Lepisosteus oculatus: one gene and its partner. The protein of the gene in region 1 interacts with the protein of each later gene in a pairwise test. Links are inferred from orthologs where the notes say so. Each region holds a gene or a part of one and is shown on either strand. Other genes may lie near its edges.

Region 1 (8,243 bases):
CCGTTGGGTGAAGGCAGCGCATCTCCGGTCTCCCATAGGAGACGCCGTTGGGTGAAGGCAGCGCATCTCCAGTCTTCCTCAGGAGACGCCGTTGGCTGAAGGCAGCGCATCTCCAGTCTTCCTCAGGAGACGCCGTTGGGTGAAGGCAGCGCATCTCCAGTCTCCCATAGGAGACGCCGTTGGGTGAAGGCAGCGCATCTCCAGTCTTCCTCAGGAGACGCTGTTGGCTGAAGGCAGCGCATCTCCAGTCTTCCTCAGGAGACGCTGTTGGCTGAAGGCAGCGCATCTCCAGTCTTCCTCAGGAGACGCTGTTGGCTGAAGGCAGCGCATCTCCAGTCTCCCGCAGGAGACGCTGTTTGGTGAAGGGGTAAATAAATTGCTACATCTGTAAATGAGGCATGGCCTACGAATGCATAGCCAAAGGATCCACTCCTGGGTTTTACCAGTGGCAGATATTTGAACCAAGACTGCAGCCTCCAAATGCATAGCAGGTTGATCCAGTTCCAGGTTTTGTAAGCTGCTAAGCTTTTCGACTCCGCCACATGCAACAGCAACTCCGCGAGAGCTGGGCAGACCTTCATCCTGCAGTGCTCATCCCCTAGAACAGAGCACCATGCCGCTCCAGAAACACGTCATCACCGCGCACTGAAAGAAGGACGCTTCACAGGCGCCTTCTGAACCGGAGCTCTGACCATCCGGAAAGGAAGGAGCCGAGTCCCGTTCCGCGTGCAATGTCGCACGGGAGTGTCCCGGGGGAGAAGCTTACTCACTTTCCTCAGGCAGGGCCACTCCCAGTATCGTCCTCTGCTTGACCTCCAGGCTGTTGACCTTCATGGTGAGAGCGGCCAGGCCCTCGTGGATCTCTCTCACCTGCCGGACAGACACGGGGTCCAAGAGGTTAGTGACCGGCGCCCCCACAGGACACGCAGTCCCCCGATTTATTTATAGGGGGCGGTGCTTTTCCGACCCACTGAACGATTCTATCTTCCCAGCATGCCTCAAACGGACAGATCGCTTGTAGGTCTTCCTACACGCACCGGTAACACAGGAAGCCAACACAAGGCAGGTCACAAAAGAGAGGAGGCACATACCCAAGGGGACGTCCACTGGAGGAAATGATTAGTTTCGTTTCGCTACTTTATTGTGCTTTGCGCCCAAGGTTCTTGCGAGGCAGAGACTACTACCAGCTACTGCTCAGCAAGTCAGGCAGAGAAGAGAGACAGGGCTGCGCTGTGTGAACTAAGGGGGGAATTATAGAGAAAACCAGGAGGACGAGCCCAGAGGGATGTATGTACCCAGGACACCAGCCCCACTCCCTACATCGCTCTGCAGAGGATATTTTACGACACACTTTCAACACTGCTCAGCAGGAACTTAAATACATCAATTCTAGTTAAAAGTTCTTCTTGTGACTTTATGGGTTCGTCACACATGGAAACATCAGTGTTGTTCCTGTGGCTGGGATTCCCAGACTGCTCCAGCTTGGATTCAGACCTTCAGGGGTGACCGTCACCGAGGGGACACTAGTCCACCATAGACAGATTCTCATTAACAGGTTCAAGAGTTAAAATTACCTTCTGGAAAAATTCATCGTTCTCATCCTTGGCAGCTTTCTGTGATGTTTTCCCTGTTCCTGGCTTTATCATCAGAGGTCTGCCTTCCTCCTCCTCATCAGAACTCTCCGCCTTCTGCACACAGAGAGAGAGGGGTTCATACAGACACACTGACTGACTGGACACTCCAGTACATTAACACTGCACTGAGAGAGAGGGGTTCATACAGACACACTGACTGACTGGACACTCCAGTACATTAACACTGCACTGAGAGAGAGGGGTTCATACAGACACACTGACTGACTGGACACTCCAGTACATTAACACTGCACTGAGAGAGAGGGGTTCATACAGACACACTGACTGACTGGACACTCCAGTACATTAACACTGCACTGAGAGAGAGGGGTTCATACAGACACACTGACTGGACACTCCAGTACATTAACACTGCACTGAGAGAGAGGGGTTCATACAGACACACTGACTGACTGGACACTCCAGTACATTAACACTGCACTGAGAGAGAGGGGTTCATACAGACACACTGACTGGACACTCCAGTACATTAACACTGCACTGAGAGAGGGATTAATACACTCTTTTACTCACACAGGTGTTGGTATTAATCTGATCTAAGGGGAGTACAACACAGCACTGCAGAGGGAAACCGAAAGCGAGGAGCAACGTTCATCAGTATTTCCACGTTAATACTCTTAGGCTTTATGACAGACTCCAGGGTAGCTCAAGTTGGGACTACTAACACATCCAGAAGAAAATCACCCAAAACAAACAGCACCTTTAATATTAAATTTACCGGTATGCTTGAATATTTAATTCAAAAAGACACTAGGCGTATTAACTCACAACCTCTGTCCGCATACTGCCCAGATTAACCGAGAACCACTGACAGACTGGTACTGTCTGACAGAGGGACACTGTCCGTACTAAGCGCGAGAGACGTTTGGTGGAAAAAACGTGGAGATACTGGGCAGTGGCAGGCGATCATTCAAGTTGACATAAAGACCGTCCCTTGTGGGCGTCCGGGACAAAGTACTCTTATTCCATGCAACAAGTCGAGCTCCTTCGTCCTTTCCGTGTGAAGTTTCGTTTCGGGCTGGACGTCACTGAAGAAGACACCTTCTGTGTGTGTGTGTCAGGAGCCCCCGGACTGCCTGTTGAGGTGGAGCGCTATTTATACACCGGGCAGCCCCGGAGGGGGGTTTGGAGAAACTATTTTTTAAACAGGCCGTCGCTTCTCAGCTCCCGTGTGTTGTTTTCTTAGTGCTTCAGAACATAGCAGAAGATACAACACAGATAACAGGGAACCAGACGATGAGAGGAAGCCCAGATACGCGATTTTAACTGTCTTCCTTCTTTGTCCTTTTAATTTCAACGGGACCTTCACAAATCTATCTTTTATTATTATTATCATGCTTATTTTCCACGATCAGCGCCTCGTCAACGACTGAAGTGCAAAAAAAAAAGGACGAGGGCAAAGCTACCCCCAGCCCTTTCTCGGTGTCGATCGCGACGTAGAAAGTAGCGAGACTGTGTGCCACAACACGCCCAGGGTGCGTGCAAAGCAGACAGCCACCAGCCCGGCTGGCCGAGGGTCGGAGAGACGGGACCGCACTTACATCGCCCAGCTCTCTCGTCCGGTCTCGCATCTCGGCTGCACCCCGACCCCACTCGCATCCAGACCCGACACGGAAAACGGACTTTGCACCCGGGCTCTACGACGGCACGCACTCGACCTCCTCCTGCGCTCCCAGTAAACTTTCCTGCCAGCGGCGCTGCAGCGTGACTCTGCCGGCCAATCACGCCGCCCTCCGGGAGGAAGTCGGGCCCCGCGCATGCGCGGCCGGCCTGCGCAGGGGAGGGCGGGAGCAGGGGGTGGTCTGGGTGTCGCTTATTGTGATTCCTTCGGAATGGAAGTGATTTATTCTCCGGTTGAGAACAATTTAAGGGGGTTTAAACTATCCCTGACCCCTTTCATTAATGACAGTGCGGTAGTCATTCGCGTTGCTCGCTAGGGGGCCCTGGTGTTCCAACTGCAGTTGTTCCCAGAAGAATCATTAACGTCATTCAGCCAACGCAGCACATCACTACTCGGGGCAAAGTGTTTATAGTATTACAATCTAGCGGACTTTATAGATCGATAAAATACATAAATCAGGCGACACAACAGCGAGCACAAAACGGAGCATTTAAAAACTTGGCTCTATCCGAGGAACCGATGTTTCAGTGGTGGTTGCAGTAGTGTTTGGGTGAAACACGAACCAGAGGGCACGAGTGACAGTTGCAAGGAAGCGCATTTAAAATTCAGAGCAGGAGGCAGCATTTTACACAAAGGGTGGTGGGAGTGTGGAACAAGCTGCCCAGCCATGTTGTTGAAGCCGATACCTTGTTTCAGGACACAGCTGTATGAGATCCTGATGATCTCACTCTTCATATACTGTAGATATGCAGTACCAGTACCAGTCAAAGGTACTGTGTGAAACCAGGTTTTTCCATCATTATCTGTAGTTTAAACTGTATAAACTTGTTAATCAACACTTAATATTTAATTACATGATACTGTATGTGAACTTATAATCTTAGGTGAACTGCATTGAAAATGTTAATTTTTCATTTTCAATAAAATGAATACTCAAAGCAAGCAGTCTGAAGCCCAGGTTAATTAAAAGTCAGAAATGTGTATAACACGGTGTTAGCACACTAAAAGAAGTTTGAAATTGTCTTTGTTAGATGTTCCCACAGTTTACTAGCATGTTACCTCATTTACCTTTTGTAAAGACACACGTGATTATTATAAATATAGGGAGCATGGGCAAACGTTTGTCATTCCTGAATGAACATAGCAAAATTTGCTCAGCAAGCAAGGAAGAAACACAGTTTATAATTACTTTAAGAAATGAAAGTCAATCTTTAAGACAAATTGCAAGAACAAATTGCTAGTGTCAGTAACTGCTGTGGCCAAGACTATCAAACGATATGAAGAATCTGGCACTCAGGAGGACCGAAAAAGATCAGGCAGGCCAAAGGTGACCTCAGAATCAGAGAATACGTTCATTAGAGTCACAAGTCTGCCAAACTGGCGACTAACTGACCCTGAAATACAGGCTGAGCTCAGTGCAACTAGAAGACCAGATGTTTCAGAGGAGTTCACCTGTTCAGAGGAGGTTGCGTGAAGCTGGCCTCAAAGGTCCATTTTCTGTGTTTTTTGGCCCAGGCAGGTCTCTTCTTCTTATTCTGCACTCTTAACAAGGGTGTCTTTGCAGCAGTCTTCCTGGTAGGCCAGCGTCACACCGCCGCCTCTGAAAATGATCCAAAACGATCCTTTGCTTTGAGACTGTGTGTTTTTGTTTTTGCAAATTGAAGTGTGCTTTTCCTTCTAACGCTCGGTGTCACTTCACATCATTAATAAACCAGGCCAGTTTGTGGGTCAGCAGTTCCCACCGTGTTTCTGTTAACTACTGCGCACACACAGTATTTATCACTGCCCAGATCCACTGATCTTCAGATCTGGGGCTCTTGGCAGGACCAGGAAAGTGCTACAGAGTTGCAGCCTTCAGAGTTTTAGCCTTGCAGTTTTCAGCCCAGCCAGATCAATCAGTGAAAATCCATCTGTCACCCTCTTCCAAACTACAGTAACACATCTTTATTGATTCATGACGCAAAGTGAAAATACAATCTTTAGCGATTTCTTGTTCTTTTAAAAAAGCTGTACTGTATATATGATCATTAATGTTTTTAATTTGTGCCTGTTCCTGTTTTTAAGCTAAGGTTATTACTGTCGTTTTGAATGGAAGAGTTTACATTAAAACAGATGAGATGGAGAAAATAGTTTTATCTGAAATACTCCCATGCACACGATTCCTACGTCGAAAATACTCCAGTCCACACGATTCTTATATAGAAAATACTCCAGTCCACACGATTAATATATCCAAAATACTCCAGTCCACCCTATTCCTATATCTGAAATACTCCAGTGCACACAATTCCTACATCTGAAATACTCCAGTCCCAAGATTCTTATATCCAAAATACTCCAGTCCACATGATTCTGATATCGAAAATACTAAAGTCTACACAATTCTTATATCGAAAATACTCCAGTCCACACAATTCTTATATCCAAAATACTTATCCAAAATACTTAGTGCATATATTCCCTGTATCTGAAAAACTCCAGTCCACACTATCCCTATATCTGAGATACTCCAGTCCACACTATTCCTGTATCTGAAATAGTCCAGTCCACACACTTAATTCCCAAGTCTCCACCCGTGTCATCAGATGGTGCAGACACCACACCTGTCGTGAGGTTCTTACTTGTTAACAGTGCAGGTGTAGTCGAACAGCAGACAAGCTGTGTGTTTAGAGCGCCATCTGCTGGGATAGCCTGACTCTCTTTCTCACCCTAACCTTGGCTGGAAACTTCATCCTTCACCTGTCAAATTCAGATCTTTCTTGACATGAGTGATGAATTACAGTGCCGCCAAAGTACTACCCATTATTAGGCTGTGACAGGAGATCACACACAGGACTGCAGCTCTGCTGCATTTCCTCCCTCAGTACAGGACTGGGAGCTGTTCCTGTTCTGCCAGCTGATGGAATTCTTAGATTATTTTAGGGAAGAATGTATACTACTAGAGTATTTCTTGTAGTGCTGCAGAAAGTGCATCTCCTCTTCTGTTTTGCCTTGCTGTCCTCTCTAGGCAGCCAGGCCTGTCTGTGTCCAGTTTCCATGTCCAGTCTGTGTTCACTGAGCCTGTCCTCCCTGGACAGCCAGGTCTGTATGTGTCCAGTTTCCATGTCCAGTCTGTGGTCACTGGGCCTGTCTTCTCTAGATAGCCAGGTCTGCCTGTGTCCAGTTTCTATGTCCAGACTGTGGTCACTGAGCCTGTCCTCTCTGGACAGCCAGCTCTGCAGGTGTATTAGGCAGACCAGAGAAAAGCCCTGTACTCCGTCCTCTGGGAACGCAGCATGGACAGAGCAGTCCTGGCCCTTGTTCTGTTGGCAGGCAGCAGAGTTCCAGAGGGAAGAGAGCCAGCATCCTTGATTATAAATCAGTGTTTCCCCCAGAATACCTCTGGATATTCGATTTGAGCTTTGGCAGCGACTGAGGAACTGTTGCAAACTGCAGGCACACAGAACGACCTGGCTCCCAGCCCTGGTGACTTTCTATATTTTAATCTAGCAGGGGATTAATACGGGCTGAGGAAGATGATGACGAAGATGATGGAGATGCTGTACTTAATATATATGTATCTACAGTCTATGGAGAGTGAGACAGAAAAGGGGCGTGTGTGCTTCATCAGGTAGAGATACGAGAGAGTCAGGGGGCTAATGGAGGTGATGGCGACAGGAAGATGAGCCAATCAATCAATCCACCAACCAATTCATCAATCCATCCGTGTTTTTGACAGTTTTATCCAGTTCAAGGCCGCAGGGGAGCCAGAGCCTATTCCTGCAAGCCCAGGTGACGGGCTCGAGCACGGTCCACCCTGTCCATCACGGGACAGACAGACACAGGCTCACACCCGGGCCGGTTTTCCCAGAAGCCAATTCAGCTCCCAGCGTGCCTCTGGACTGCGGGAGGAAACCGGCGCACCAGGAGGAGACCCACACGAGCACGGGGAGAAGGGCACTGGCCGCCCTCACTGGGGGGACCCTGATGGCCCTCGGCCCGCAGTCAGCTCTGGCAGGATCTCCTGCTGCAGAGGCGATGGGGGTGACCAGCCCACGAACGTGAGAGCCCAGACTGACAGCAGAGTGCACCGTGGGACACGGCGCGCTTGAGGAAGCTACAGTGCTTCACTGAGACATCTTTCATGTCTTCTAGCCCATCGGCTCTCAGTCCTAATCCTGGGGGACGGCTCACCGATTCACTCTCACTCTCACCTATGATCTGAACCTCACAGTGCCTTCTTCCTTTCTTTCTTACCAAAAACTCAAACACACATTGAAAATCTACCTCTACCTCACATGTCAAAAGCTCACTCCCAATCATTTCTATCCCTTTATTTTCTTCTGTTGATGCATATTTTTGCACATACCCTGTTACCTTTTTGTTGTTTTGCACATTGCCTGTTGTTGTTTTTTGCACATCGTGTGTTGTTGTTGTTTTGCACATTGCCTGTTGTTGTTTTTTTGCACATCGTCTGTTGTTGTTTTTTGCACACTGCCTGTTGTCTCTGTCTTTCTTTTGCTACACAATTGTATTGTTGTTGTTGTTTTTCTCTTTGTACTACTTATGTCCGAGAGCTAGCTAAATAGCATTTCGTTATACCCTATACCATGTATATGAGTGTAATGACAATTAACTTGAAACTTGAACCGATGACTTCAGCTGGATTGTTCATTGCAGGCTAACTGATTCCAGCTTTCCTACTGCGGCGCCATTTGAACGTTTTTCGGAATCTCCCGAAGTGCCGGATGGGAGCGGTCGGCAAGCGGAACCGGGCCTGGGTCGAAGCCGGAACATTCAGAACCGCCCTCAGTGGCGTGTGTGAGCTGAATCGGACCAGCGGGACTGGAACAAAAAAAGGAAAGCGCCCGGTGTTGACACAGCGTCGTTCCCAGTCTCTGCCTCCTCATCGCCAACCGGTCTCCTGCTCTGAGCTGTTGAGGGAAATATACGAGTCCTTCATTTTCATTCTTTGCTGATTAGGCTCT
Region 2 (7,877 bases), on another chromosome or scaffold:
CCTGGATGGACTAGCGTCCCATCCAGGGTGTACCCTGCCTTGTGCCCTTTGCTTTCCAGGTTAGATCCCGGCTCCCCAGCAACCCTGAACTTGATTAAGCGGTTAGGAAAACGACGGATGGACATGTACTTCTGACAAGCAACAAGCGAGACGGGGGCTCTGGCCTTGGGAGTTTCATGCGGCGAGAGTTCTGTTTTTCAACTTTGACGTCAACAAAGGCAGAAAACTTCCGAGAGACGCAGAGGAAGCGCTCCGGGCTCCACTGTCATCGGTGCCTTGCAGGTGAGGGCGTCTGTGCACTTCGAGGCACAACCCTGATTACACACTGAAATAAGGTTTGGTCCCACCGCTGATGATAATACAGTATACTCAGGCCAGTGACATCTATCTGTGTGATGATGGAGGCAGTGCGTCACAAAGTCTTTAGATTTGGGAAAATATTGAGAATCAAAGAGTTATTACAGAATGGTCCCTGTTATAACACTAAATTGGTCACAATGCAGAAAGGCTATGGCTCCCATTTCCGACATAATGTTTTTTGACTCTAACACGCCACACAAATCTCTGAAACCCTTATTCACTCAGCCTGCTGAATCAAGGGTGCTGTTTCAAAAATTACACAGTGCAGCACCTATTTTGCTAGGATAGCTAACAGACAAAGAAAAACGGAGACATTTTCTTGGTAAAACTGACTCAGAATTGGGCTCCTGAAGATGATGATAATAATAATTGTTTGTGGCCTTCGAATACAATTGTTTGTATGAAAGAGTGGTATAAACTTTAAATAGTGAAATAGTGGCTTCTGTTATAGAAAAGGGGCTTGTTTAGCTTATGGCCACTGTAAATCACTTCAAAAGTAAGGATGCCAAAAAACTATATAATGTCGAATACAAAACAGACTCCAACAACTGCATTACAACAAAGCAGCCCTGTTTTATCAGTAGTAGTTGTCAGTACATAAAAACCTAATGGACACATACTTACGACAAATGAATTACACAATTTCTGTGCTTTTAGGTGAAAAAATATATATAGTTGTATACAAAACAAGTATATTTTTCAAATATATGTACAGAAACAGAACCCTTTTTTATAGCAATGAACTGTTCTCTTTAAAATGCACAGGGATGTTACATTTGTATGGATTACATATAAAACAAGGATTTTCCAAAAGATAAACTTACACAATTTGACATCATTAGTAAATCATATGAAATACAACTATCAAAAGCTTTATTCAGCAATGTGTTCTGAACCTTTGAAGGTCAGAATTGATCCATCATTGCAGCCCCCCAAAATAAACAAGGACACCTCCACTTTCCAAAACTGGAAGGTCAGTGAACTGTACTTACATGTTTTAAAGCACTGACTTTAGCTCTTAAACCTTCGGATAAATTTTCATTTTCTTCTTCATGAACACTGTATCCACTTGCTACATAATTTCCTGTGGGTGCTCCATCACCTGTTAAAAGAAGGTGATAACATCCAAAGATAAAATAAAAATATCATGACTGGTTCATTACAATGTTGTGAGCAATACAATTAAACTTTGAATTTTCCACAACATTAGATATACAGTACAGGTTTATACAATCATGTCGGCTGTATTGTTCCCTACATCTCCATTTCGAAGTACTTGCTTTCACTAACTGTTTAATTACAATTACTGTGGCCATAAAGGGAAATTCCCATTATTTTACATAAATGAAAGGACGGCGACAAGGAAAACATGTCTGCAGTATATGATTAATACAATACTTAAAAACTACACTCTTTTTTTGGCAAAATAAATTGATCTTCACAGACTTGCAAACAGGTTAAAAAAGAAAATGATTAAACCATGTGGCTTAGAAAGCCAACTAAGGGTGTGCCCAGTAAAATCTGACAGGTCACCATCACCAATCCTTCCTTATCTTTGACCAGGGATGATGAGCCCCAGACTACTCTTTAAATGAGTGGGCGGAGCAGTGTCTCTGTGGCTCAGGATCTGTGCCTGCGGTTGGAAGGTTGCCAGTTCAAATCCCGCAGCCGGCAGAGGAATCCTACTCTGTTGGGCCCCTGAGCAAGACCCTTAACCCCAACTGCTCCAGGGGTGCCATACAATGGCAGACCCTGCGCTCTGACCCCCAGCTTCTCTCTCCCTGTCTGTGTGTCTCATGGAGAGCAAGCTGTGGCATGCGAAAAGATCATTCCTAATGCAAGAAATTGTATATGGCCAATAAAGTGATATTAAATGAAACAGGCTTGCAAATCCTTTAATCCAAAAGGCTGAAATGGTCAAGTTCCTTGCAGGTAGAGCTCTGTGATCATGGGTTCAAGCATGGGCCATGTCAGCAGCTGACTGTGACACAAATTTCCCCAGTCAGCGGCACTGGAAATGGGCGAGGGTAGAGTGGGTGTAGTCAGTGACACAGCGCCCCCTGTAGTCTTCTGGAGTGTTTGCAAGCTTGCAGTGCTGAGGGTGAAGGATGGGCCTCTCCACCAACCAGCACTGAACCTGTGGCACAGAGTGGGGTTGTCTGTGATGTGTCAAGAAATGACTGACTGGAAGGAGGAGTTATGAAACAACTTGTGAAAAACCATAACTTTGCTGTTCTAAACTGGGTGGGACTAACACATAAAACTGGTGATTCTAAATTTCTAAAAAAAAATAAATGTTATAAAAAAATAACATTCTTGGGATCACCCCAGCCCTGATTCAATAACATTTAACTGTTCTTGTATATACAATGTATATCCGATCTTATCAACAATGACGTTTGCTCGATGAAGTGTTAAACTAAGAAGGTCCAACTTTTGCACTAACTTCACTTGTCTAACTTCACTTTAAAATATTGCAACTAACCATAGTACCCATGTAATTGATGAATGAATTATCAAGCAAAATGACAGGTATTAGAACTTGAAAACAATTTGTCTAAACAGTCTAGTCATATAGAGTATAAAACCAGGTTCTACAGAAAAAAAACTGATGTACATCGAGATTCTTGTTTTAAATCAACGAATACGTTTTAAATCAACTTTCAATCTCGACTGTATTTAATGAGCTGTTTCCCTAGTGAGAAATGATAAAAAAAAACATCCTAAGACTGTGATATACTTGTAAAATTGATTGAACCGTCTCCCATTCATGGGAAATAACAGCTCGGATTTCGAGACATTTCACTCGTTTAGGGCGCAGGGTATGAAGAGTTCAAACTACGGGGATTTCAGGAATTATTGTTCAGACTGCGTCTTAAATTAATTAATACATTTAGTAATGGACAAACCTTTTCACCCTGTATAATAAAATCCTCTATTTACTTTAGAAATAATCAATATATCGTTTATAAATTTTAATAACCAACGAGTCCCCTTAAATTTTATTTCGAGTTCATGGTACAATTCAGTAAACCATTTTCAGAAACAAGAGTGGATACAGCTCCTCTTACCCAAACCCGCTCGCCTCATTTTGATCCCTTAGACTCCTTTCAGACAACGTTTGTTGCCAACACTTATTTTCTCGGTAACAATAATTTACCGAAGTTACAATTCCCGAAACCGATTTCTGCTTTGCCAACGTGTATGAACAGCAGCTATCGAAAAAAAAAATGAAACTTCACGACAACAACAACCCGGAACACGGCAGAACATCTTGGTTTGTGGGTAATGGAGTGCATGCGGTTGACTAAAGAATAATTCACACCGGCTCTCCCTGCGCTTGTCTGTGACCACTCTCACAACATCATGTCCGGTACATTCAGGCATATGATTCAAATTCAACAGGAGGCATGATTATTTATTTGGCTATTACTGAGTTCTTTAAATTACTTAGACAAGTTGAGTAGCAAAAAAAAAGACTACATCGCCCAGAATGCATAGCAAAGTCTCACTGCAACCTGAAAGTGCTGAAGCAAACGCAATGCAAGCGGAAGAGGCTCATGCTTCAACTGCCTTTTTAATATTGTACATCAAATGATACATCTAAGGAATAAAAAGTATCCGAAAAGCTAAGTGAACAATAAAAAAAAATCACAAAACAGTATACTGCTAGAGAGAATTAAAAAATAGAACTCAACAAATGAAACATTTTCATCCAATTTTTTTATTTGTGAATATTATGTCAAATTATAACTATTCTTCCATATTACATGGCTCAAAGCGTAAAGTTTATATGAAACTTTTTAAGTCTGCCTTTTTAATGCGTATTATTAAAGTTCTGCAAGTCTGTCCAAAACAAGTAACACATGTGTCCGAGTTTTTTTTTTCCCCAGGCTTAAAATACACAAATCATCTTGTTGAATCTTGTTGAAAAGTCTGAATCTAGAAAGTCTTAGTTTAACATTTTAAAGCCTATGAACAGTTGTAAATGTTTTTTGTAAGGCAGTATCTGTCAGGAGTTGTCCAAAATAATTTTCAGTTAGTATTTACAAATATTAAATTCTAGAAGGATATACAGATAGAAATGAAGCAGAGTTTAAACAAATTCCTTATGTGGTTTTTAAAATTGCATTTTTATCTTTTATTTTCACACCATTCAAGAACAAAGTAACTGTAGATGTCAGGTCTATACTGACAGAGTTAGGGTTACCTGCAAGACTTTTTGTTTTGTACTTAATACCTTTGTTATATAGTATTTATAGTTTATATAGTATGTATGTGGTGAGAACTTATGTTTATACAGTATATTAAATATAAGACCCGTCTGTGAAAGTTGAATAAGTTAATCATGGGTGTCATGAAGTCAAATAACAGCTTCTCAATGATTTCTCCAAAAAACCCTCTACATTACCACACGTTCTGATTATCTCCCAGAATCACCAATGCACACACAGACCAGCGATAAGCATTAGTATCGTATAAGTACCCTTTTTAATAAATTATGTACAGTAACATTAACTATCAGCAAGGACAGGTTCTTTCAAGAGTCCTAATGAATTCCTGGGGGTCAGCTGTCCTTGCAGGTGATGAGGAGAGGGCGTTGGAAAGTCTTGGTGTTACAGAGAAGGACAGCAATGTATAGAAAAGTGATGCCGCACAGTCCAATTTCCCCGGTCTCCGTTTGGACTATATCGGGAGTCCTCCTTTAGAGTGCACTACTCTCCCCTTGGGTCAGTATCGACTCACCAGGCCGGTTTCTTTGCTTCTTTCCTCCAAGTATTAGATGTCTCTGTGCAGTACCTCCGTTCCTCTGCATCCTTCTCCCATGATCTGCAACTCCAGGGAGAATCTCCTCTGTGGACTCGCAGGTTGCGGGTTTCCTTGCACTGCCTGTCTCGTGTCGAGGGGCTACCCTGGAGAAGAGACTCCTCTGTTGAGGCTCAGATCTTTTTATCCCTCCCATAAGCCATCCCCCCAAGTGGTTTTCCTATTGTCTCTGTCAGTGGCGGGTGCACCCAGAACATTATCAGGAGGAAGCTCAGGTCGTTTGAGAACGGGAAGTCCTAGGTGTCATGGGCACTTCTCATTTCTTTGTGTGCTTTCCTGCTCCACTCCCCTGCCCAAGGTCTGACGAACTGGCTCAGCCTCACACCTCCATGCGTCAGTACCTAATTGCTTCCTGGATGACTTGGGTATGACCATTGTTACTAATTGTTCCCTGCTCCACTGTCACATTGACACAATCCTGGCCATCAACACAACGCGATTCATCACAACCTGTTACTGCTTCAACGGCCAACATCTTGTGACATTAGCACTGGAAATGTAGAGTTCAGCTGGAATGAGCACCAGCAGAAAAGAGTTCAAAAACATTACTTTATATTTATATCTAAATATATAACCATAAATGCACATTTGTTTGAGCTAATGCGCCATATATATGTTAATATTGTATTATTAATCAACTTTAAACATTTAATCATCTGGTCATTTTTATCACACCAATCTTGGCGTACAATCATAGAGTTTCTTTAGAGCCCTTAGTGATATTCGTGTTAAGGTCTTTTCAATGAGAATGAAAACATTTTTTTAATGCTTGAAATAGTCCTTGAAAATGTTCTCTTTTGTTTGAATTCTTCGATGCTTGATCTAAGCCAACAGACTTTTCTTCTTCTAAAGAAACAATTGAACACCAGAGCTGACAAAAGTGAGGAATAATGATAATGGAAAAGAAAATATCATTACAACTGTTACATACTGTAAGTGTTTAGAAATATTTTCCTGCTCTTTGGTGTGGAAGTTTTCTTTATTCCGGAGAGCTATTTCGATATTATCATAGGTGAGTCATGTGTGCATGAAAAGTTCATTGCTTTTCACCAATTACCAAAGCGAAAAAGCCTTTCAGTGTATTTCACATCAAAAAACACATTAGACTCTGCTTTAGCAGCACATCACTGTACTTAGTATTTGCCTGTTATGACAGACAGTATGTGCTAAAAGCAACTTAATGCTGCAAAATATTAACTTGCAAAATGTCCTTTATGATATTTAAGGTACAGCAAAATGGTAACAGCAGAGGATCCACCTTGGATAAGATGTAAAAACAACAGCAACAAAGCAATTACTCAAGCCTATTATAATTATTCAGACCTATTATAAGAGATGGGGAAAGAGCAGTGTCTTGCTGTGATTAATCATTGTCTTTAGGGTCTGATACATGTAGCTGCCTGTCTTCTCCATTGGTGGTCTTCCTATAGAGGAGTGTGTGCTAATGATAAAAGTGCTTTGAAGGCAAAGAAGAAAGCATGCTGTTAATACCATTGAGAGACGTTTGAATAAAATGTTTATGCTATTTCCCCTTATACCTTCTTAACCATTTTTTATCTGCATCATGATTCTGTAGGATTAGCAGTCATTCATTTTTGACACACTATCTACTGTAGGTCTCAAGGATCACACATTTTAATTAATCAGATATTAATCAAACATACTGTACAAGCATCCATACATACATACACAGTGCAGGTCCTTTTTCCAGGAGTTTCTGAGGGTTTTTATTTACATAGCTGATGTTCCCATAGGGTAGTTACAGAAAAGTCAATGAAACATAAGGTCAATCCACTTCATTATTCTTAGAAACTGGAAGACTTTCTGGGAACCAGGCATCATGAGCACAGAAAATGGAGTGTATTATCCTTATAGTCATCTCCGTTTATGTGTTACCAAAATAGTTACCATATTTCCAAGTACCTGATTTGCCCACTGTTTCCTGAGGAATGTTAAGTTTTGCCTCCATTGCAGATTTACAGTACATACATGTTCTGTCACGAACAGCATCCCTCCTCTTAAAGGACACTCCGACCCTTTTGTATTTTAGTTGATTATGAGCACCTGCCTCTTGCTTTGTCCTACTATTTCAGCCTGGTGCTCTTGCTATTCCTGGCTCAGCACTGGGAGATGGATGCCCAGAAGCCCGCCTACCAGCGGGTCCAGGAGAGACCCGACGGCACAGGCTTCATCACGGCCTCCTGACCGTCTGAGTCCGGGGCTCGGAGCGCCTGGCCTCTGTCCCTACTGTCACGAATCTTACTCCCGCGTGCCCCTCCCGGCGCACACACCTGTGCCGCTATTAGCAATTAGCACTTCACTCCCCGCTTCCTCCGTTCACTCCTCGCTCACTGTTGAGATTGCCTTAAACCTTCTCTTGTGCGCGTTTTCTTCTACTGACTTCTGGATTTCGACCCTGATACTCTTCGGCAATGGCTTCACCTCTCTCTCTCTCACGGATTTCTGATTTGGACACCTACTGGCTTGACTATTGATTACCAACCCTGCTTCGCCCCTGGCTACCTTCGTCGCTCTCTCTCACGGACCACGGATTTGGATACCTATCGACCGGACACCTGTACCTGACCCTGGCTGACAACCCGACCTCTCATCACTCTCTCTCGCCTTTTTGGATTCCCGACATCTACCTTCACAGCACCGTATCGGGTCTGACCTCTCCTATCACTAGT

The links. The genes of interacting proteins can lie anywhere in the genome.
Region 2: the proteins of stx4 (region 1) and bet1 interact in binary tests that used the Homo sapiens proteins (3 or more experiments, as listed by UniProt). The two-hybrid records come from large-scale screens. The link is inferred for Lepisosteus oculatus from reciprocal best matches to the Homo sapiens genes STX4 and BET1.

The regions. Positions count from the first base shown.
Region 1 is NC_090699.1:15,298,390-15,306,632, reverse strand, and holds the start of stx4 (syntaxin-4), read right to left. Parts: upstream 3,386-8,243; 5' UTR 3,227-3,385; coding exon 3,197-3,226; intron 1,689-3,196; coding exon 1,575-1,688; intron 871-1,574; coding exon 771-870; intron 1-770. UniProt on the Homo sapiens protein: Plasma membrane t-SNARE that mediates docking of transport vesicles. Necessary for the translocation of SLC2A4 from intracellular vesicles to the plasma membrane.
Region 2 is NC_090705.1:4,535,438-4,543,314, reverse strand, and holds the start of bet1 (BET1 homolog), read right to left. Parts: upstream 3,612-7,877; 5' UTR 3,451-3,611; coding exon 3,432-3,450; intron 1,463-3,431; coding exon 1,353-1,462; intron 1-1,352. UniProt on the Homo sapiens protein: Required for vesicular transport from the ER to the Golgi complex. Functions as a SNARE involved in the docking process of ER-derived vesicles with the cis-Golgi membrane.